Caenorhabditis elegans: one gene and its partners. The protein of the gene in region 3 purifies or fractionates together with the protein of the main gene of each other region. This does not show direct contact. Each region holds a gene or a part of one and is shown on either strand. Other genes may lie near its edges.

Region 1 (7,050 bases), on a different chromosome or scaffold from region 3:
GCCGTCATGCCGAAAAATCCCGAATGCCGCACAGGTCTGATTGACACCCAAACATCTCACGAGTTCTGTGCACCACAATGTTTAACGTGAGAGCGATTCACCAAGAACGGCGAACATTCTGCAAATTCGAGTATTTGCCGCCTATTATGAAATGGTGCCGATTTCAACTTCATTTCATAATACGGCCCGCAAAACGTGCGGGCCTAAAGTGTTGGTTTTGTACCTACATGCGTGTATTTAATTCGAGTGTAAGTAAACCAAGAAACTAACTGTGATCTTGAATCGATAAGCACGCCCAGTAATTATTTGAAAATGGAACGTTCATTGGTGGCAACATCATAATATTTTGCCCGGAGACCAGAGGGTTTGCACAGTAAATTGGATACGGAGGATTGTAAATTGGCTGATAAAATATTGATTTACTTTAGCCTGCATAAGGGGCTGTAATGAAGAGGAGTATATTGTATAGTGTCTTAGAAATGGTATTTTGCGTAGAAGTGACTCGAGATTGTCTGAGCTGGAGTCACGGCTGAGCGATTTGCTGTGCCGTAGTAAGTAATCCACGTTGAGAAAGATAATTAATTTCTTTGTGGAAATCCCGAATCACGGAAAACATTTTACTAAACAAAAATAAAGTTTCTAAACAAACTTACATTATCGAAATTCTCATCTTGCCCAGCATCAAAAACTCCATTTGTTTTGGATGTTAAATTATAGAGTGCCCTGGATTGAGTTCCGCCTGATGGACTAGCGGAAGAAACCGCATGAACAATTCCGTGATGTTGTCGAACAAGTGCCACAGTGCCACAGATATGTCCGACTCATTTGAGTAACGTTTTGAAAGTATTATGCAAAACGATCCGCAGACGGGTATTTGGTCACTTGTGTAGAATTCCTTTAAGTTTACAAATGTTCACTGATTCAATAACGGAACAAAACATACGTCAATCATTCTAAACGAGTCGCTTCCAGTTGTGGTGTCACCGAATCCCAAACTTGAATCGGGAAGATGTGAGTACAAATATGAAGTGGCACTTCTGAAGTTCATAGTTTGCTGGCGACGCCTTTACGGCTACTTTCAATCTGTGCTGCCCGCCTTTTCCTGCTGACCATCTGAAAATTTATAAATGATTTATGTTCCTGTTTTTAATGGAAAAAAACGAATTTTCTCGATTTTTATCGATTTTTTCATACAAAAGTTCCAAAAAAAAAAATTTTGACAACTTTTTCAGAAGTCTGGTTATGAAAATAAGGTGCAATTAGCATTGACACAGCTTTTTTATTATGTTTGGAAAAAAGTTTGGGGTTTTTTTTTTTCATTTGGGATCTGATTTTATCGAATTTTCTCGATTTTCATCGATTTTTTCATACAAAAGTTCCAAAAAAAATTTTTTGACAACTTTTTCAGAAGTCTGGTTATGAAAATAATGTGCAATTAGCATTGACACAGCTTTTTTATTATGTTTGGAAAAAAGTTTGGGTTTTTTTTTGGTTTAATCGATAATACTTACTGTGTGACCTTCCGCAGCTACTAGTCGACCCAAAAATTCTTTCTTTCACGTGAAAATCGTTTCAAAATCTGTAAAATGTATTTATTTGTTAGTTTTAATGAGAAAAAACGGTGAAAATTGAAGAAAAACTGAAGAAAACAAGCGGAAAACAATGCAATATAAATTGCCGCTGAAACTTGTCGGAGACTCGGCCATGGCCTAGAAACCTTTTTGCCTCGTCCCTCGTTCGAAAAAAGTCGCAGTGGAATGGTGACAAATCGCCGCTGCGGCCAAGGCAAGATTTCATCGCGTCGAGACCCATCGAACACTAAAGGCGATGCGCCTTTAAGCTGGCGGTACGATACTCGCTCCGCTTTCTTGGGGAAAACATATAATTGTTATGAAAATGAATAATGATAATCTTTATTCCAAATGGCTCAACACGAAAATTGATGCCGACTTTCTTTAAAAGTTTTTGTGCACATATTTTGCATACATGAAAATGTTTATTCTATTAATATACACGGGGTTCCGGCCTTCCTCAATGGATTTTTCGCGCTCCATTGACAATCGCTCGCCGGACAACGCATGGGAAAGTGGTGCACTCCACTCGGACAAATGCATTTAGTTTTACAACTAAAATCGAGCCGCAACGCGCCGTAAATCTACCCCAGATATGGCCGAACCAAAATGGCCTAGTTCGACAAACTCTTCCATTTCAATTTATGAGGGAAGCCAGAAATCCGTGCAATATTTTGCCAGCAGTTTTCTACAACTTGTCGGCGGTGTTTGAAAACGTTTACTATATTGACAAAAGTTCGTCAGTTTTGCCGTTTTTGACAATTTCCGACAACTTTCGTCAACTTTCGACAATTATCAGTAACTTTCCACAATTTTCGATAGCTTCAGCCAACTTTCTGCACTTTTTCGACGCGACTTCCTTTATTATTTTTCACAATCAAGAGTTTAGAGTAAAGTGGAGAAAATGGGGAATTTTAAATTTAAAAAAACGAAAATTTTTGGAGGGCGGTGTGGTTTGAGATATCATCAATAGGGAGACCCATTCAGTGAACAAAATATGGACAATTTTATGGGGAAAAATGAGCAAAAGGGCTCAGGAGGAATCACACAATATTCACAAAAAAATATTCGTTGAAAAAATATGGAAAGTGGGAAAAATAGAGGGAAAATGGGATTTTTCGAGCAAAAAATTGGAAATCTTCACAGGAAAAATCGGAAAAAAAAATTTCTTAGCAAAAAATCGGAGAAAATTTTGATTTTTTCACTCAAAAACCAGCAAGAAATCAGGGAAATATCGGGGAAAATTAGGATTTTTAGCAGAAAAATGAGAAAAAGGTCGAAAAAATGGGAAATTAATCGATATTTAGACGCCGATTGAGTGCACTGACGTAGGCTTGATGAATCTGTGAAACGAATTCGTCGTCGGTTTGCATTAGGTGGGCGATTGCTGAGATGAACTGAAAAAATTTGAATTTTAGGGGGTTTTCGGTGATTTTTAACGATTTTTCACAAAAATCTGAGATTTTTAGATAAATTTCGCTTTTTTCCGGAAATTTTACCGCTTTTTTATAATTTTTAGGAAAAAACGGTACTTTTTTTAAAAGAGATTTCAATACCTAAGCTAGACTAAGCCTAAGCCTATGCCTATGCCTAAGCCTAAGTTTAAGGTTAGGCCTACGCCTACGCCTAAGCCCAAGGCTAAATCTAAAGGACAAGACTAAGCTTGAGCCTAGGCCTATGCCTAAGCCTGAGCCTCAGCATAAGCCTAAGCCTAATCCTAAGCCGAAGCAGAAGCCTAAGCCTGAGCCTGAACCTAGGTCTAGGCCTGAGCCTAAGCCTGGGCCTAAAATTTTCAGCTTAAGTATCGTAATTTCATGTTGAAAAACAAATAAAGTCGATTTCAAGCTTAAAAATTGCTCATTTTCACTGAGAAAGCAGATTTTTAGCTGGAAAACCTGAATTTTCCGTTAAAAAACTGATTTTTCGCATTTTTTAGCTCCAATTTCGAGCAAAAATGGGATTTTTGACAAAATTTTTCAACTAAAATAAAGATTTTTCATGTAAATTTTCGAGATTTCTCGTGAAAAATCAGTTTTTAATTGATTTTATCTAAAAAATCTGAGCTTTTCACTCAAAAAAAAAACGTTTTTCCAGCTCCAACCTGTTCTTTATTGAGAACAGGCGTCTGTTCACCACTTCCAACGACAAATGAAGCATCAAGTGGCTCTAAAATCTCTCCTTCAGCAATATCCGACTCCACATCACCCTCCGATCCATGCAAAGGCTTCGTCGAGACCGCCGCCAACGAAATCGCCGACGTTGAGTTAGTAAATTCTTGCAAAAGATGATTCCGATGCGGTTTTGCCGACTTTATAAGATCCTTCTCGAGCTCATCGGCCGACATTGCTGCTCCCGGCTCTTTGAGCATCAGCTTCTGGAGCATTGGCGGCATTTGTTCGATCGTTGCCGCAGATTTTTGCGGCGGATTTTGCGCACTTTTTATGAGCTGGAGAAGATCCACTTTTGGTGGGGCTTGAGGAGCCATTTGTGGAGCTTGAGCTGGAGCTGCTGGAGCCTGCGTTGGAGCCGGAACCGAAGCCTGTGGAGCCTCCGAGGCGGCCTTGGCGGCCCGAGCCTGCTCCGTAGTGCTTCCTTTCAGACGATTCACGAGTTTTTGCAACAAATTGTAGATTTTCTGAGCATCATCAATCTGGTGGAACCATAGTGCTTGAATTGAGGCCAAATCCTTGTAAAAGTAGATGAAATTTCCGTCGTGGCGGAGAATATGGTTGAGGGTGAGCGGCTCGATGAAATCCGATGGATCGTTGCGATTTGCGATGAGGAAACTGAAATAAATAAGTTTAAAATTGATTATTTTAGCTATTTTTGCATGTTTTCTTGCTTCTTCTCACCTAAAATATGGCCGATCAGCTCTCTGATAGACGAAAAATGTTCCTTCGCAATTCGACTGATTCCACTCTTTTCTCGCCGCATCGATATGATAAATCGCGGCAAATGGCATCTACAAAACCAATTTTTAGCTTTAAAATCCACAATTCTCTATGTTAAACCTTGTCGAGAATCTTGCTGGCGGCGATGTCGATTTTCTGGAGTTGTGCGAGGTTTTTCGCGGCTAGCTCGGCGGCGGCCTTTTTTTTAGCGTCGCTCATACTGGTTCCTGGATGAAAATGTTGAGTTTTCGATGAAAAATGATGAGAAAAGTGCAAAAAATCTGCGGAAATCGGTGAAAATCGCGAAAAAAACAAAGAAAGACAGAATTTAAATTGAAATTCTATGGTGTAGATTTACGGTAAACAGGGCGCGCTGCGGGATTTTGGAGTATCGTTGTAATTGTAAACTGAATTTTTAAAGCAAAAAATTTGTTTCTTAAACGAAAAAATCAGATAAAAATGCAAAATAATTCATTTAAACCGAGAAAATCAAATAAAAACATCAATAAATCAAATCTAAACAATCAAAGCGTCAATCTTCTTAGCCCACAACTCCACATTGTTCGGAAGGTGCTCCCCAAGGTTCAGAAGGCTTCTGAACACAATATCAGCGACACACACCTCCCATTGAGAGCTTAACGAGTCGAAACGAGCCAGGAACTGAGAAGCTTCACGTGTGACAAAGCTCTGATCACAGGAGCCGGCAAGGATTTGCTCGGCCTGAAAGAAAATTTGATTTTTTTGGGAAAGTTTCTAAAATTTCCTACTTTTCCCAGCCAAATCGCTTGATGACTGGCGCTGAGCACTTGTTGTGGCCGTCTAGAGAAGAGCCCGAGTGAAGAGCCCAACAGCTTCCAGATAGTTTGAAGGGATTTGACGGTAGTTTTTTCCAATTGCAGGGAGGGAGCAGGGCCTGAAAATATTGAAAATTAAGGGTATATCATAAAATTCTGATTTTTAGAGAAAAAATCCCGCACCTTTCACAACTTTCAGACTGGATTTCTTCTCTTTCGTCTGATTTTTGACTTCTCCCTCAAACGAGACTCCACGGCTTGCGCCGACCTTTGCGAGAGCCCGAGCCCACGGCAAATCCACGTCCCGCACTGTCAGCGTGGCGTTTTTCAGCTGCTCCTGCGGCTCGTAGGCCACAAGGGAGGTTGGGAGATTCACGGTGAGAGTCAGATTGGTCTCCCACGTCTTTCGGTCGTCCTGGACGGTCCATGGAGTCGAATTTACGGTCTTTTTCGCGGATTTCTGTGGTGGAGCCTCTCCGGAAGCCAATTTCTTTACGGCTTCTGCCTTGGCAGCCTTGCGAGCCTCCTTCTTGGCGTCCTTGTCTAGTTTTGCGGGGGCTCCGGGGACTCCGGGAGCTGAAGAGGCTGCTCCAGCGGATTTCTCAGGCTCTTTTGGCGCTTTTTCCGCAGGTTTTTGAGCAGATCTCTCTGCTTTTCCAGCCTCTCCAAGGCTTACCAGCAACTTCTTGAGCTCTTCGGTCTGTGCTTTGAGCTGCTCGATCAGTGAGAGCTGTTTGTGCTCCAAAGCCTTGCGCGGATCGGATTCTACCTGAAATTTCAGTTTTTTTTGAGCCAAAATCCGTCTATTACCTGCACCGCATCAGAAGGCCCGACTCCTCCGAAAGATGGATTATGATACGAACCTACTGGATAGCAGGCGATTTTCGGATGAACCTCAAAATTCGGTGGGAACGTCGGTGTCAGCTTGTACATTGGCATCGCGTGATTTACCCTGGAAAATCCTATTTTATACGAAATCTTGAGATTTTTGAGATTTTCAGAGCAATCGAGAGATTGTAAGATGGAATTTCGAGAATCTAAAATTTTTCAGAAGCGTTAAAGGCACCAAAAAACATGAAATATGCTTGAAAAACTGGGAAAACCATCAAATTTCTGGAAAAAAAATTTAGAGTTTAAAACAACGATGCTCCGAATTAACAAGTGCGTGTTATTTATTTTTAGTGAATTTTTGGTATAAAATCAGCATTTTTACATGATTTATGTAATTTTTGCGGGAAATAGACGAAAAATTACCGGTTTTTACTGAATTTTGATATAAAATAGCTTGAAAACAGCTAAAAAACCCAAAAATCAGAAATAAAAGCAAATGTGGATTTACGATAAAGAAGGCGCACAACGTGATATCGGAGTGTCGTTGGGAGGAAAATTATTTATTTTAATTATATATTTTTTTTCTCATTTTCAAGCGATTTTTTAGCTTTTTCCAGTGGTTTTTTAATTCTATCTTTTGCATAAATTTATCGTAATCTCATATTCAGCGTTTTCCCACGAAATTCCTTCCTTTTTCAGCTCAAAACCAGAAATGCCGTTCATGCACGGGTCCATGCCGCTTCGGCGGACATTCTTCTATCTCCAGCAGGGAAAAGTGAAGCTTCGCGACAACGTCAACGTGTTCTCGATGGGTTTTCATAAAAATCCGACGCCCGAGCAGTCTGGAGCACGAGATTTCGTCTACTGGAACTGGGCGCAGCTTCAATATCACAATCCAAAAGTTCAGCTCGTTAAGCATGCCGATAAAGTTGTGACGCCCTTTGCCAGAGCATATCTGAGTAA
Region 2 (10,309 bases), 6.4 Mb from region 3:
CAAAGACTCAGAAAATCACAATTCTAGAATTTTTCGGAGGGGTCGTGACGAGACCCACTGAGAATGTGAGCGTGTTCCTTTAAAGTATCGTTTCTATTATTTGCGAATATACGATATAATTTCCGGCAAATCGGCAAATTGCCGGAATTGAAAATTTCTGGCAAATCGGCAAACCGGCAATTTACCGATAATTTCCGATGTACCGAAAAAACGGCAATTGCCGAAAATTTTTGGAAAATTGCGGATTCGCACATTTTTTTTGGAAATTTCAGAATTTAAATTTTAATCGGCAAAATTGTTCCCATTCTGTGAATGTTCCTATATCTATTTTGAACAGTAAGCAAATTCTATGAAAATACTTAAAGAAAACGGGAAAAAATTTCAAAACGGCACATTTCCGGCAAACGGCAAATCGGCAAATTACCGAGAATGAAAAATTCCGGCAAATCCGCAAACCGGCAAGTTCGCAAAAAAAATTGCCAAATTTCCGTCCACCCTTAATTGGACATTCCCGACATTGCCGAATTTCAACATTTCCGATACAAAAATAAATATAAAATCAGTATAGAATGAAAATAGAAACCATGGGAACATTGAATATGCTTATTTCCACATTGATAGCGCATTTCTTCTTCTTCTTTTTTCTTTTTCATTTCCTTTTTCTTCTCCATCTCACCATATTTTTGCCCATTTCCTCCATCAGACACGCGCTCGCGCTCACTCGCTCACCACACTCAATTTTAGCTGTTTTTCCTTCTTTTCCACCCCCTCATATTGACTGACACATATATATTATATATATATATATATATAAAGATACATATATGCAAATTGATGTTCGGCAAATTGACATTGTGCAATTTGCCGAACATGAAAATTTCCGGCAAACTGGCAAACCGGCAGTTTCCCGGAAAACAATTTTCCGAACGACAATTGCCAGTTTTCCGGTATATATATTTATATATTCCCTATTACGATCAATATAGAATCCTGTTTAGCCAAAATCTTTTTTGATTTTTCCCAAGGAACAACATTTTAAAAAAATACGTACCTTTTTATTGCCACGAAATTTAATTGGAAAAAATCAATTTTGAAATAAAATGTATTTTTGTATTTATATAAAAAGCAATTCTATTTATTTTTAAAACGTGTTGGATTAGTTTTTTAAAATAAAAAAAACAACACCGAAATTTAGTCATTTTTCGTTCAATCGTTAGTGAGAAGCGGTGAGTTTTGGCGATTTTGAGCATTTTCCGTTGAAAATATGAGTAATTTCCTATTAAACTGGTTATTTCGATCGCGCTAGTGAAATTTCTTGAAATTGTGTAGCAAAATGGGCTTACATGCTATTTTAAGATGAGCAATTGAAGCATTTTATTTTGATTCAGTCAGAATTTTGAAATACTTACGAAAATAGCAATTATATCAATTCCAAATCAAAAAATATGGTACTTATGGGTTTCGTTCCCCCCAAAATGATTTCCATATTTTCTAATTGATACGTGAACTTTTTTTTCATTCCCAGGCTTAGGGAAATGATTTTCTAAGCCTTGTAAAAATGAAAACAGTATTAAAATAAACAATAACGTGTGGATTAAAATTAAAAAGGTAGTGTTGAATAATTAAAAATCATTTTGGGGGGAACGAAACCCATAAGTACCAAAAATATAGTTTCTTCTAGAAATATATTTTTTATTGCCGCTAAATTTAGAAAAATTCAATTTCGAATGAATATGTATTTATTTATTTTGAAAAAAACGTACATTAAAACGTGTCGGATTAGATTTTACTTCCCTTTTTTTAATTTTAAAATTCAAAAAATTCATTTCTATATTTAAAAATTTGGCAGTTTTGGCGTTTCCCTTTTATTACAGTGAGTTAGCCAACTTTTTCGAGCTAATAACATTACATTAAGCTTTAGAAAAAACTTTAGAAGTTTTGAGAAATACTACTTTTAAAACTTCGATTTTTTCAATTTTTGGCTAAATTCTATTCTAGTTTGAATATCCTCCAAAATGAGAGCTCCCCTACGACTATTTTGGATTTTTTGAAGCGAATCCTAAAAAAATGGGCTGAAAATGCCAAAAATCGTCTAATTTCCAGTAAAGTTTTTTGGCGAAATCCATATTTAACAGCTCTTTAATAGTCCTACAAATTCGACAAATTGCCGATTCGTCGGAAATTGGCCGGTTTACCGATTTGCCAGAAAAAGTCGTTTGCCGCCCACCCCTGTTCCCACTTTGGCTAGGAATTCCTAAAAGTTTATCGAATTTTGAAATGTTACTCCATTTCACCTCATATTTGCCTTAAATATCACCCATTTTTATACGTTTCCTCGTATTTTTCAAACCCAACGCCCAAATGAAATATTTTATTATTTTTTATTTTCAGGTGAATAGCCTCATTCTCTCCGTTTTCCCTCTCAAAAAACCACATCATATCCTCATCATCTAATCTCTGGCTCTTCTCATTTATTGGACAGAGCTCATATATACACACACACACACAAGAATCAAATCAATCAGTAGTGTGGTGTGATGAATAAGCAGTTACTATCGTGCTCGCTGAAAAGCGGAAAACAAGTGACGATGGTCGTCGCGTCAGTCGCCACGGATGGTGTTGATCAGCAGGTTGGTTTTGAGTGAGGAAATTTTAATTTTCTCGGAGAAATTTGGATGAAAAGAAGTTGGATATCAGAGGTGGGCGGGTATTTTTTTCGGATATTTTCTAATAATGAATTTATCAATAAGTATTGATGTAGTTATTCTGGAAAAAATGTATCCGAACAAAAGAGTAACTATTAAGCAACATTTTAATATGATAAAACCTAAAAAAATTCTACAAGTTTTCTGTATAAACGATATGCAAGTCCATTATCCGATATCCGTAATATCCGTAATATCCGATTGCTTAATAGTTACTCTTTTGTTCGGATACATTTCTTCCAGAATAACTACATCAATACTTATTGATAAATTCATTATTAGAAAATATCCGAAAAAATATCCGCCCACCTCTGGTGGAAATGCATGAAAATGAGGATTTTCACAAAAAAAAACTCTTTGGAAGTGATACAAATATATTTTTCGATATTTAGTACAACACAATAAATGAGTTATTACGTGTTTATCCACAGATAAGAAAAATCGCCATATCTGCCGCGCAAATGAACCCGCGGGAAGAGACAAAACTACTGTAGTTTTTAACCAATTTGTGTAGATTTACGAGCTATTGCGTCATCGTTGAATTTAATTTTGAGCCGCAATTTTTAATTTTCAGGCGTGTTTCACTCTTTTTTATATTGAAATTTATCTATTTATTGAATAAATCTTAAAAGAAAACACAAAAAAATTAGAAAAACGCCTGCAAATTAAATTCAACGATGACGCAATAGCTCGTAAATCTACACAAATTGGTTAAAAACTACAGTAGTTTTATCTCTTCCCGCGGGTTCATTTGCGCGGCAGATATGGCGATTTTTCTCATCTGTGGATAAACACGTAATAAATAGGTTGACAAAATTGTTCTCCTTTTCCTCGTGGAGTACACGATTTTACTCAAGCACTTAAAATATCAATTTCTTCAAAAAAAAAAAAAGGAAATTTGCTGGAAAACTAGCTGATAAAATGTGAAAAAATTATTATTAAAAAATCTCCAAACGAAAAAAAACACTGTAATTCAAATTTTAATTAAAAAAAAATGTATTGTAGGTTGAAATCTCGTACTACGATCAGAAAGTGATTGGAAATGGATCATTCGGAGTGGTATTCCTTGCCAAACTCTCTACAACAAATGAAATGGTTGCAATCAAGAAAGTTCTTCAGGACAAACGATTCAAGAATCGTGAACTACAGATTATGCGAAAATTGAATCATCCAAATATCGTGAAGCTCAAATACTTTTTCTATTCGAGCGGCGAGAAGAAGGATGAACTCTACTTGAATTTGATTCTCGAATATGTTCCTGAAACTGTCTACAGGTTATTTTTATTAGGATTTTTAAAAATTTCTGGAAAATTTCAGTTTTTAGCGGAATTTTTTTGTTCAAAAATAAAGAGAATTTCTTATTTAAAAATTGAAAAAAAAAATTTTTTTGGAAATTTTTAAATAAAAATTGCGAATTTCTTTTTTAAAGATATTTTTAAAAATTTTGAAAAACAATAGTAGAAATTCAATAAAAAGCTGAATTTTTATGTTTTTTTTTGTGAAAAACTGTTTAAAAATGATGTTAATGTAAATTTTTAAAGGAAATAATCAAAAAATGCCTGATTTTTTTAACCTTTTTTGTTAATTTCTGACAAAAATTCATGGAAATTTGATTTTCCGTCGATTTTGTGAAATTTTGGTTCGAAAATTGAATTTTTTCGCTAAATTTTGATTTTTTAAGATAAAAATTGATTTTTCCCGAATTCCAGCGCTACAGGGCGATTTCAAGCAGATTTCTTTGCAACATTTTTGACTAAAATGCACTATTTCACGAATTTCCTCCTGAAATTTATGTAAAAAGCTATTTAAAAGTTCAAAAATGCGTTCCAAACGTATAGAAAGGCTACAAACTACATGGCTGATAGCTTGGAATTTAGAAAATACGATTTTAAAACAAAAAAACTTGAAATTTTGCAAAATTCTTTACAAAATTGAAAATATTCTATTTTTTTATAATTTTGAATTTTCAAGTTGAAAACCTAGAAATTTTTTTTTGACAATTTTTGACTAAAATTTATGGAAAAAATTATGTAAAAATTGAAAAAATTTAGAAAAATCGATTTTTAAACAAAAAAACTTGATGTTTTGCGAAATTTATTTGAAATTTTTAATTTTTGCAGAGTTGCCCGGCACTATTCGAAGCAGCGACAACAAATTCCAATGATTTATGTCAAATTGTACATGTATCAGCTTCTCCGTTCATTGGCCTACATTCATAGCATTGGAATCTGTCACCGTGACATTAAGCCTCAGAATTTGCTCATTGACCCGGAAAGCGGAGTGCTTAAGCTCTGTGATTTTGGATCTGCCAAATATTTGGTTCGCAATGAGCCAAACGTCTCGTACATTTGCTCGCGATATTATCGTGCTCCGGAGCTCATTTTCGGCGCTACAAACTACACGAACTCGATTGACGTTTGGTCGGCTGGAACTGTAATGGCAGAGCTTCTTCTCGGCCAACCAATTTTCCCTGGTGACTCTGGAGTTGATCAACTCGTTGAAATTATTAAAGTTCTTGGAACACCGACTCGTGAACAAATTCAAAGTATGAATCCGAACTACAAGGAATTCAAATTTCCACAGATAAAGGCACATCCATGGAATAAGGTATTCCGTGTACACACGCCTGCTGAAGCGATTGATCTCATTTCGAAGATTATCGAGTATACGCCGACGTCTCGGCCAACACCTCAAGCGGTGAGTTTTTTGGGGGTTTTTGTAGAAAAAAGGCCGAAAAATGAATTAAAAATGTTTTCCCAACACTAAATTGCTGAAAATCGACTCTTTTTTCAACTAAAAACCTTTTAAATTGAAAAAAATTGATTTTTTGTCATTGAAAACTTGAGAAAATTGCCCAAAAGTTTAAAAAATACTGCGAAATTCAGGAATTTTAATCATTTTGGCTATTTTACAATTTTATGAGAAAAATCTCTAAAAATTAATGGAAGTTTGAATTTTTCGACTTTTTATCGAGATAATTAAAATGGCGAAAATTGCACAAAAAATGTCAAAAACTGATTTCCGGTAGTTTTTAACGTTTAAAAACACTTGAAAATGGAAAAACAAAACTTATATTAAAATTGTGTCAAAAAATTATTGAAATTGTCTAAAAATGGACTTTTTTTTTGTTTTTCGGTTTTGAAAGCGAATGTTCTGTAATTTTATTCTCAAAAAATGCGAATTTTTGCTCACAAAAGTTATTATGGAACACAAAATCCTTAAAAAAACATATTCGATGCGCAAAATATATCGTAGCGAAAACTACAGTAACCTTTTAAAGGACTACTGTAGCGCTGCGCTTGTGTCGATTTACGGGCTCGATTTTTATTCTGCATTTATTAATCAAAAAATGAGACAATAATACGAAGAAACGAAGGAAAATATAGAATAGATTCATATCGAAAATCAATCCCGTAAATCGCCACACGGAGCTATAGTACCCATTTAAAGGGTTACTGTAGTTTTCGCAATGAGATATTTTGCGCGTCAATTATGATGTGTAATACGCATTCTTCTCAGAATTTTCGGTTCCCGTAATATGAATGAAAAAAAAAGAGAAAGTTGAGTGTGATTTTTGAGACATTAGACAGTTGACTGAAAATTTATTTAAAAAATTTCGGCCATTCGGTCAGCTTATTTTTCCTCCATTTTGAAAATTGCAGATTTTGCAGATTTTCGATCGCTCAAAAAAAAAGCAGCCAGTTTGAAACGAAATTCAATGATTTTATCTGTATTTTTCCAAAAAAAAGTATCTTCATTGTTCACAAATTCGATCGCCCCCTCACAAAACCGCTTAGAAAGTCCACCCCGTTCGTTGGTTGCTTTTGAAAATCGCCTTAATATCTATCGTTGAAATCTTTGTTTCCTCATTGTAATTCTCCCATAGATCAAGCCATTTCCCGGTTTTTTTTCTTAGATTTCTCAAATTGGCACGAATATGGAAGATATTTATGGAAGCAGATGGGAGCATTAGATTTTTACACAAAAAAAATTGCAGAATTTTGGCTTTTTTTTCCAATTTTTGGAAAAAGATAACTTGTGAAACCGTGGTTTTTAATTTTGAAAAAAAAGCTATAAATTCAAAGTTAGTGAAATCTGAAATAGACATAAAAATTGAAAATCCCACTGAAATTTCAACTTGAATTTAACAAAATTTCAGCTAAAACTTGGAAAGAAATGTTTCTTGGAATTTTTATAGAACTCGCTGACAAGCAGTGAGCAGTAAAAAACTCGGCTCACAATTTATCCGTACTTTTATTTTTTGAAACTAGTAACTAAATGTCAACTGCAAGAATATTAGAGGCCATACTACAAATGAGATTTCCAGAAAATTATGATGTTCTCGTAATTTTAAAGATGGAGACATTTACGTGGTATGATGGTTGAAAATTAGAAAATTGGCTTGAAAACACTTTTAAATTTAGAAAAACCACAAAAAACGAGCAAAATCGAGAAAAATGAACAATTCAACTTTCGAAAACACGATTTTCCCTATTGTGACTAACTAGTATATTTTAAATTTCCATTTTGAATTTCCTCCAAAACGAGAACTTCCCGACCAATCAGCGATTCGTCCTGCCCACTTTTCAACCAATCAGATGAAGTGGGCGGAGTTCGATGTCGTTGATTGATCGATTGGGGAGTTTGCATTTTGGAGGGAATTGTCTGCGTTTTGATCTACAAAAAATGCGGGAATTTTTTCCCAGAAAAATTGTAACGTCTGCACGCTTTTAACCATGTGAAATCAGTTGAGATGTTTGCGTCTCATCTCCCGCATTTTTCGTAGATCAAATCAAAATGGGACTTTCTGACTCCACGTGGATTCAAACATGGGGAATTTGGAACTCACAATGGACAAAAATATCGATTTTGCTCGTTTTTCTGAATTTGAGACTGTATTTTGAAATTTTTGAGAGACAAAATCGCCCCCAATTCACGCTACTTTAACAATTCAACCAATATATATATGTTTTTCGTCTTTTTCAGGCCTGCCAGCACGCATTCTTTGATGAGCTCCGAAACCCGGATGCACGTCTTCCATCTGGTCGACCTCTTCCAACACTTGAGATGGACGGTCCAATGGGAACTGGTGAAGTTTCAACGACAAGCGGTGATGTGGCTGGCCCATCGGCTTAAACTTCTTTTTTTTATTTTAATATTGGTTCTGAATTTTCTCTCGAATGTTTCTTTTTTTTTCATTTTCCGTGGGATTTTTCTTTTCCATTGATTTTATACATCCATCCTCTCCTCTCTCTCTGTCTCTCTCTCTCTCCATACCTATCATCATTAAGAAAAAAATTATTATTTTTTCTTTTGAGCCCTCCCCCCCCCACCCCCCTCCATCGCCCGTATCGTCTCCATAGCAACTGTGTTGTAGAAGCATTTCCCCCCAACTCGATTGTCTGCTGCTCTTCTTTTATTTTATTTTATTGTCCCCTCAAGCTTTTTTGTCTCGAAAAACTTGAATTTTTACTCTTTTTTTTTTACCCCACCTGGCTCCCCCCTGGATTTTTCTGTGAAAATTTGGCTAAAAATTAGGTTTTCAAGGTTCCTGAAATTTTGGCTGAAAATTGGGTTTTAGGCCAAAAATTTTGGGTTTTTTAAACCTTTGGCCTAATTTTTGAGGCCCAATTTTTTAGGACTTCATCTAGGCCCAAAGGCCTGAAAAAATCCGCGACTTCTGTACATTTCCTCCCCCTCCGCCGCCGTTTTCTTTTGTAATCCCGATTTTGTGTTCCCACGCTCTCCTCTAAAGAAATTTCTAGCCAAAAATGAATTGAAAACTGCTCTCTCTCTCCCCCATATTTTCTGTCTTTTTTTCTTTTCTTTTTTTTGCTCTGTAAGTGTCTCCCCACAACGCCAATGTCCCTGTTTTTGTGGAAATTTTTTATATATTTTTTGGAAATATAGTATTTGTCCCCCCAATTCATTACATTTTAAAAATATTTTATTTTTCCCCACTCTACCACCACCACCAACTGAAATTTCACACACCATCCAAATTCTCTCCGTCTCTCTCTCTCTCTCTCATTTTATTTTCATTTTTTTTCCTGGAAATAAAAGTGGATCGATTTTTCTGAAGATTTTCGAGATAATGATCATCCCCCCGCGCGCGCATCTCCGAATAATGCCTCTTCTTTGGACATTAAACAGTCATTTATTTGTCCGATGCGCCTTTGAAGAGACGAGAAGCTTCCTTGTTAATATTTTTCATTTTGAACCGCTGGCGCTGAAATTTACTATACATTGCTACTGAACATAAATGGTGAGGCTGTGGTGGTTTTGTAGTTTGTAGTCTTTGTGACTACAAACTACGAAAATTACTTTTTTTTTCCGCTTGGAATTGGCTTTAAAATGAAAGTTTTTTTAGTTTTTGAAAATTGGAAATTTTTTTAAATTTTAGATTTTCAGAGCGAAATCGACGATTTTTTTTTCGAAAACCGGGATTTTTATGAAATTTTGCTATTTTTGCGCAAAAAATACGGTACCGGGTCTCGACACGACAATTTTTTGTCGAATACGAACAGGTGTGCGCCTTTAAAGGATACTGTAGTTTCAAACTTGTGTTGCTGCGGAGTTTTCATCGATTTTTCGGTTTTTTTTTTGGTAAAAGCATATTTAAAACTCAAATATTACAATAAAAACACTTAAACTTAAACAATTTACCGAAAGAAAGACAGAAAAATCGATAACAATTGCATAGAAACAAAAGTTTGAAGTTACAGTACTCTTTAAAGGCGCACACCTTTTCGTATTTAACAAAAACTGTCGTGTCGAGACCGGATACCGTATTTTTGGGGCGAAAATCACAATTTTTTACGTCTGGTTAATATTTAATAATTTTTACGAATTTTTCAATAAATTTACATTTTTTTCAAATTCTTTATTTTTTTAAGCGAGTTATTGTGAAAAGTTATACATTTTCTTGCAATTTTCTTTAAAAAGTACAAAAAATTGGTTTTTTTCAAGAAAAAAATTCATGGCCGAGGTTTCCATTTTCACGGCCACGTAGAAAAATTCGACTACAAACTCCAAAAAAAAAACCTTTGAAAATCTTTAAAAATCCAAATTTCCACGAGTTTTTTTTCTTCCAAATATTTGCTAAATGACTGGTTGGTTATTGGAAGTGTACGAGTGTGTGCTAAAAAAGAAATAGAGCGCAGTTTCCACTACACTGTCTGCGGTCTCTGCGCTCGGCACACTCTCTCGTCGTCTCTTTCTCTCTCTCTATTCATACAAGAGAAGAATTTCGATTGAAACGTGTGTGTGTGTGTGTGTGTGAAATACACGTGGATTCCACATTTTGCACTCTTTTGAACCATTTCATTATGTTCTTTTTCATTTAGATATTGGTTGAGGCTCAGAAATTGTGTAGTTTGTAGTCTGAGCCTTAATGTTTAGGCGTTTAATTACTTAATAAAACTTCTAATATTTCGTTTAATATTATATAATTTACTTAAATTTACAAGTTCGACTGTTAATTTTCATCTTTTCCAATTAATTTTTTTAATTGAAACGGAAATTTCTGAAAATTTTCGATAAATCCAAGGCTGACTTTTCTTTTTTCTAGACCAAGTGACAAAATCCGACTTTTTTTTTGAAAA
Region 3 (6,892 bases):
CATTGAACCAATATTTCGAAATGATAAAGAAGTCACAGATCCTTGACTATTAAACATTTGTAATTGAATGAAAGATGGTGCATCAATTGGTAAACGAACTGGAGAAGATGTCAAAGTTGATTCACCAGCTGCTTCATTCACAATTTTAGATGGAAGAAGTTGAATATTCGTTGATTGCCAGGAACAAATTGAAGAACGAAAATGACAAGAGATTGGAGTACATACATTTGATAATTCTGAATTTTTAAAAGTTATAGAGATGGTCCTTGGGATTTTTGTAGAATATTATTCGCATTAGTAAAAAACAAGGAAAGAACGAAAAAAACGTTTTAGGGATCCGAATATTGTCTACAATATCAACTTACTTGAACTTCTCCGAATTTCTCTTCTTCGTATATCTTCTTCATCAAAAAACTTGGAATCTTGTCCCGCCCACATAACATTTGCAGGTGTTGCCACGTCAATTTCATCGACAGCAATGATATCTTCAGCAGTTTGAATATTATCACATTCAAATATAACACTTGTTTGATTATAATCTGGAATTGGAGGAAAAATGACACTTCGACGATGCCATTTGATTCTTTCTATCTCATTTGAGGATATGGTATCAAGTAAGATCTCGTCTGTTTGGTTTTTTAAAAGAATCTGAAATTATAAGTAAGAGTTTTCATAAATTTCAAACTAAAATGGGAAAATACCCTCAAAGTCGCCATTCCACGACGTTGATACCGATATGCAAGTATTCTCATATGATCTGATTTTGAGATTTTCTGAGAAGTAACTCTTGACGAGGGCACTGATGCGAACTTTCCTTGTGCAAGTAGGAATGGTCCTTCTGAAAAACGAGCGACTTTAAAATTCCCCATTTATGTTAGAGTGCGCAAGTTTCAAAGGACACACTTGGTGACCTTCCTAGATTTTTCAAAACTTGAAGTAAATGGTTTCAGTATACTAAATTACTTTCTCAATGTTTTCATTGTTACTACACGAAAATTACGAGTACAGAAGCGGATATTTAAGATTCCAAATTTCGGCATTTTGCCAAAAGATTGACCTAAAACATTGATGATTGTACAAAATTGTAGATTTTCAAATATATATATTTAGTACTTTTGCCCCAATTCGAGTACATGTTTAGAAAAACTATAACTAAAACTGAAAAGAAAATTGTAAAAGTACAGATAACTGTAACTGATATCTCGCCACGATTCGAATAAATCGCGATTCTACCGTAGTCTCAATGAGAAAAACGGCCGACGTGGTACATTCCGTAGAACATGATCTTTAAAAATGTCGGTAACTTTTTTAACATGTGACATCATCCGTGAGGGTCTACTAGACTGCTTGAATCTATGTGACTATAGTAAAATCGCGGCAAGAAATCGTGGTGATGAGCACATTGCGATCTACCGTATAAAACCTGTTTTGAGATAGTAGATGATTGTTGTGAATCTTTGTGCAAATAATAAATTAACCATTGAAGCTAAATTTCAGGTTCTCCGATCGGCCAATGTATTTAGTCATTTCGATTTAATAGTGAACATGCTATACACGAGATGTAGTCTAGAAGACATTAGAAAATACATTTAATTTCTCACCAGAAGTGATAACATCGGGTGTCTTTGAAATATTTAGTAGTCCAGGATGCTGATGACGTGGAAGAATTGCCAACGAGACAACATTCCACGGAGGTCTGATATCCCATTCACAGGTTCCTTCGTTGAATGTACATAACTCCGTACAGTAAGAAATAGGTAGTACTACTAGGTAGATAATTTTGAAAAGCATTGCGTTGAACGGTGTCATCTGTCATAATCCTGAAGTTGGTTAGAGTGACCTCGTTGGATATTCAACAAGTGACCGGTTTTCGGGGGGAGGGGGAGGACATGTCAATTATACAAGAGTAAGCAATGAAGGTAAAGATGGCTAGTTAGCATGTGGAAGAAGAGCAATTTATTTTATTAAGTCTCTGCGCACGAGAAGATTTGTAAGAAAAGTAAAAGGGGGAGGGAAATTGAAAGAAATGGAGAACATATTTAAACGATCATTAGTTAGAACAGGTAAGTGGAAATGGAGAAAATGTTTCCTAGAAGGGAAGAATGTGAGGCAAAAATTCGAAAAAAAATGAGGGGGAAAGAAGAAGAAGCAAAAAAGATGTATTGACATTCAAATTCATGAATACCCGGATGAAACATTTACAAAACCAAATTGGAGAATAGAGAAGTAAGAGGGAAAAACATGAATCTAGCAGCATCCTCCACTGCTACTCTGCCTCTGTGGTTGCACTGGATTCACCGTATCGCGGGATTGCTCGTCAGTGGAATCAGGCATCTGAAAATAAAAACAAATTATGAAAAAAAAACAATCGTATTAATGAAACTAATTTAGATTATTCTGGTGCAATTTTTGACGAAGCGATTAAAATTTTTTGCATGATTAAAAACGAAGAAGTTTCGCTCTTCATATTTTGTACTAGAAGAGTAATGAGGACAAAAATAAAAAGGCTCTTAGATTTTTCAACTAATTACGAACAATTTCACAAGAAAAAATCAGATTCTAATGCATTTAGCAATCTAATTATCACATTTTCGTCGATTTCAATACTATCAGAACATATATTCGCCCGTGCAAAGAATGTACTAATATATTTCGAATTTTCACATCCTTAATTTTAATTTTTAAAAACATTTTAAAACTTTACCTTAGCCAGAATTGCTTCTGCTAAATCGTAAAACGCTGTATCGACGTGAACATTCAATTTAGCTGAAGTCTCGTGGAAGCTGAAAATAAAAATTGTTTGAGATTATATATATATATTTTTTTATTTTTTAATCCTTTTTAATCTCCCAAAACGTACCTAATACCATGATCTTGTGCGATCTTCTCTCCTCGTTCTCTGCTCACAACTCGTCTATCACTCATATCACATTTATTTCCCAATATCATTTTAACAACATCTTCCGATGCATGTTCGTCAATATTGCGCAACCACTTTGCAATATTGTCAAAACTTTTCGCATTTGTGATATCGTAAACCAGCATAATTCCCATTGCTCCGCGGTAATATGATGTTGTGATTGTGTGGAATCGTTCTTGTCCAGCTGTGTCCCAGATTTGTAATTTAATCTTTTTTCCTTTTAATTCGATAGTTTTAATTTTGAAGTCGATTCCTGAATGAAAAAAGAAAATTATTTTGAAATCACTAGATTCTGAATAAAAACTAACCAATAGTTGAGATGAATGTGGTGTTAAAGGCATCATCCGAAAATCTGTACAGAATGCAAGTTTTTCCAACTCCTGAGTCGCCTATTAGCAGCAATTTGAAGAGCATGTCATACGGTCGGCGAGCCATTTTTCTTCTGAAATGAGAAAAAGTTGAGAACTAAAGTTGCACAAAAGTAAGAGAAAAGCACTTGAGTCATGGCAAATAGAACGAACACTTTGAGATTTCGAAGAAGTTATCAAGAGTTGACAATTGGAAGATATTTGGAAGAACTTTCTAATTTTTTTCTAGTTTTCCAAAATTAGGTTTTTGTCATAAAATGTTGTCAAAGAAAAAACAGGACAAAATAGTTAATTGTTGTTTCCATTATAACAAAAAAAAATTTGAACGGAGCTATTAACGCGTGCATGCGCAAATCACATCGATTAGCTGTTTCTGGGAAATTCTCGGGAAAAGGTGAACAGCAGCTGCTGGCTTCCTCTGCGGGTCACGAAAACACAAAGAGATCATTATAATTGTTATTTGGAAAGGAAGCGAATCTAAAACGGGTACAGGTGGACGTTTATTGATCGAAAGTGCTTTTTATTTGAAATTGAATGGTGAACTTTGCAATTTTGTAATGCAAAGTACGTTATCAGATGGCATGAGATGTGTGAAGTGATAAGGAATAAAATGTGAACGACATGTTCAAGAAACTGTGATTTTTCAATAATTTGTGATGAAATATTTTAGGAACAGAAATGAACATATTAATTGATATAAAAACAATAGGAACACTAACTCATAATTATGATAGGTGAATATCAAAATGTGCTAGATTTTTTGAAGTTAAAAAATACATTTCTAATATTTTTTCAAATAATAAGTTTCAGCTGAAATTTCAGGGTGATTTCAGAAAGCTATGTTTTGATAAATTGTTTTGAAAATTAAAAGAAGCTACAGCAAAAAAAAATTAAAGAGAACATCGCTCCCTCGTAGTGTATAATTTTTGATTATCGAAAAAAATGAGTCAATGATGAAAAGGAAGTCGCAATCTCAAAACTTCAAAAATCAAAAGAAGCCGTTGCCTCTGTCATCAAAAATTCAGAAGACAAGGTTGTTGACAAGGGTCAATTCTCAGTGGTGGAGGGCATTGGGCGTGGTGAAATTTTTGAAGGCTAGTGTGGTTGGACCTCTACTAGATAGACAAAACCCCCGAAATAGACGTTTAATTTGATGAGATGGTGGAGAAAGAAAAGGACTCATTCTCTAGATGATAGAGAGACCAGAGATACAGACAAGAGAGGGCGCCTCGGCCGTATGTTGAATGGGAGATCGATGGAACCGAGACAACGAGAAAAGGAATAGAGACGGAGAAAGAGAGAGAGAGCGCGCGTTGTTGGAAGGATGAAAAAGAAAAAAGACATGAGCTGCTTCACAAGAGCTTGGCGAAAGCAAAGGGCAAAGTGTTGACAGCTTAGTGGTGGTAGTTGGATCATGTGTTTTTATGTTTCCGGTGGGAGAAGGTTCAACAAAAAATGAAAAGAAAAAGTTCAAGCGGCATGAATCATTCTGAGTTTAAAACAAAATTATTGCGAAAATTAATATTAAAACCTTTTCACAAAACTTCAAGCTAATCTGTTCATGAAAATTTGAATAATAGTTTTTTCCCACCTATTTAGAATTAACTTCATATTAACGAAATTAATTAACGAATCGAAAATTATGACTTTTCAGAATCATCTGAAGTTTTTTCACATTCCATGCTGCATGGAATAATTTGATCCTGGAATCGATATGTTTTTATGGTATACTTTTTAACCTTCAATTTAGCTGGAAAAGTATGGAATAAATAATTCCCGAAGCTATGTACATATATGTAGAATTATTGAATGATTGTGAGAACAACTTGACTTTAGCTTGAGTAGGAATCGGAATGGCTATCGACCGATCAACACTTAGGATTGTAAGAATGGCAGTAAGAATATATTGAAGAAAGAATGTTTGTTCATAGGAAGAGAAAGAGTATTGCGAAATCATCATCGCCCACTTTAGAATGGACGGGCGGTGAGCGGACATAGAGAATTGTGAATGACTAATGCTTTTGCAGAATCTAGGGCAAAATCGTAGGAACAAACAATTGTAATACGGAGAAAACAATCATATCGATCGATGATCATGGAGAAAAATGTGATTTAAGTGAGTAGACTTGGAAAAATTAATAAAAGCATGAATTGTCGATATTTTTCATTTATTTTCATTATAAAGCTCTTTAAAAACAAATTAAATATTGAGAATGGCTTCGAAGAATATTGTTTCAAATATGTTCAATGGTGACACCTTGCGGATAAAATTAATGTAAAAATCATGGAACACAGATTCACTGATATCTCATTATCTCAAGCAGTGTAATTAGAGATTTTTTGGAACAATTATTTTATAAAACTATAAATAAACCGTTTATACTACTCAAAGCCAAATATTCAAGCTATTACCATTTTTTTTCTAACTAATTCTTGAGCAATTAAAGTATTCCCCAGTTTTTATTTTGCAACGACTCCAGGCAAACACGCTCCGTTGCACTTGCCGCCAAGGCGTTGCATTCAAATCAGAGAGACATCTCATTCCGATTTCTGTTTTTCTTCCAATAAACGGTATTTTATGCCTAATGGGTGATACGGAAATTGTTCCTCTTCGAGTACAAAATGTACTTGATAGCGAAATCATTCGTCTCAACTTGTGGTCCATGAAGGTAACTGTCTAGTTTTTTTAAGTTTTCATGATTTCAATATTTTTACAGTTTAACGCGACCAGTTTCAAACTCGAAGGTTTTGTGAGAAATGAAGAAGGCACTATGATGCAGAAAGTTTGTTCCGAATTTATTTGTGTAAGTCGAGAAACATATTCGTCAACAATTTTCATTAAATATTCAGAGACGCTTCACTTCTACGTTGCTTTTCGATGTTTCCGGACGTTTCTTCGACTTGGTCGGACAGATTGATCGGGAATATCAACAAAAAATGGGAATGCCTAGTAGAATTATTGATGAATTTTCAAATGGAATTCCTGAAAATTGGGCCGACCTTATCTATTCCTGCATGTCAGCCAACCAAAGAAGCGCACTTCGCCCTATCCAACAGGCTCCAAAAGAACCAATTAGAACTAGAACAGAACCAATTGTTACGTTGGCAGATGAAACCGAGCTAACTGGAGGATGCCAGAAAAATTCCGAAAACGAGAAAGAAAGGAACAGACGTGAGCGTGAAGAACAGCAAACAAAGGAACGTGAGAGAAGATTAGAAGAAGAAAAACAACGACGAGATGCTGAAGCTGAGGCTGAAAGAAGGCGAAAAGAAGAGGAAGAGCTGGAAGAAGCTAATTACACCCTTCGTGCTCCGAAATCTCAGAACGGCGAGCCAATCACTCCGATAAGATTCACACGGGGACACGACAATGGTGGCGCGAAAAAAGTATTCATCTTCGAGCAAACTCCAGTGGTAAGTAAAAATTTATGTTGGAAACAATATTTTGTCATCTTCAGAGAAAACAAGGTCCTATTGCTTCTTCAACGCCTCAACAAAAACAACGGTTGGCTGACGGGGCCAATAATCAAATTCCACCAACACAAAAATCTCAAGATAGCGTTCAAGCGGTACAACCACCACCACCGCGTCCAGCTGCACGGAA

Evidence for each region.
Region 1: the proteins of rab-10 (region 3) and dcap-1 fractionate together in Caenorhabditis elegans (co-fractionation; one large-scale study listed by BioGRID). This does not show direct contact.
Region 2: the proteins of rab-10 (region 3) and gsk-3 fractionate together in Caenorhabditis elegans (co-fractionation; one large-scale study listed by BioGRID). This does not show direct contact.

The regions. Positions count from the first base shown.
Region 1 is NC_003282.8:1,050,106-1,057,155, forward strand, and holds dcap-1 (mRNA-decapping enzyme 1), read right to left. Parts: upstream 4,690-7,050; 5' UTR 4,682-4,689; coding exon 4,583-4,681; intron 4,534-4,582; coding exon 4,424-4,533; intron 4,358-4,423; coding exon 3,673-4,357; intron 2,969-3,672; coding exon 2,864-2,968; 3' UTR 2,419-2,863; downstream 1-2,418. Other genes in the region: Y55F3AM.13 (FH2 domain-containing protein), read right to left, coding at 4,979-5,182, 5,230-5,375, 5,440-6,025, 6,067-6,195; mrps-25 (Small ribosomal subunit protein mS25), read left to right, coding at 6,800-7,046. UniProt on the Caenorhabditis elegans protein: Component of the decapping complex necessary for the degradation of mRNAs, both in normal mRNA turnover and in nonsense-mediated mRNA decay.
Region 2 is NC_003279.8:12,816,825-12,827,133, forward strand, and holds gsk-3 (Glycogen synthase kinase-3), read left to right. Parts: upstream 1-2,391; 5' UTR 2,392-2,537; coding exon 2,538-2,630; intron 2,631-3,710; coding exon 3,711-3,979; intron 3,980-4,825; coding exon 4,826-5,402; intron 5,403-7,294; exon of another isoform or gene 7,295-7,348; intron 7,349-7,691; coding exon 7,692-7,841; 3' UTR 7,842-8,778; downstream 8,779-10,309. Other genes in the region: nhx-8 (Sodium/hydrogen exchanger), read left to right, coding at 8,968-8,970.
Region 3 is NC_003279.8:6,455,118-6,462,009, forward strand, and holds rab-10 (Ras-related protein Rab-10), read right to left. Parts: upstream 3,363-6,892; 5' UTR 3,356-3,362; coding exon 3,229-3,355; intron 3,174-3,228; coding exon 2,861-3,173; intron 2,784-2,860; coding exon 2,705-2,783; intron 2,335-2,704; coding exon 2,248-2,334; 3' UTR 2,165-2,247; downstream 1-2,164. Other genes in the region: mam-8 (MAM domain-containing protein), read right to left, coding at 1-236, 366-648, 702-838, 1,602-1,809; knl-2 (Kinetochore null protein 2), read left to right, coding at 5,874-5,957, 6,006-6,092, 6,139-6,702, 6,747-6,892. UniProt on the Caenorhabditis elegans protein: The small GTPases Rab are key regulators of intracellular membrane trafficking, from the formation of transport vesicles to their fusion with membranes.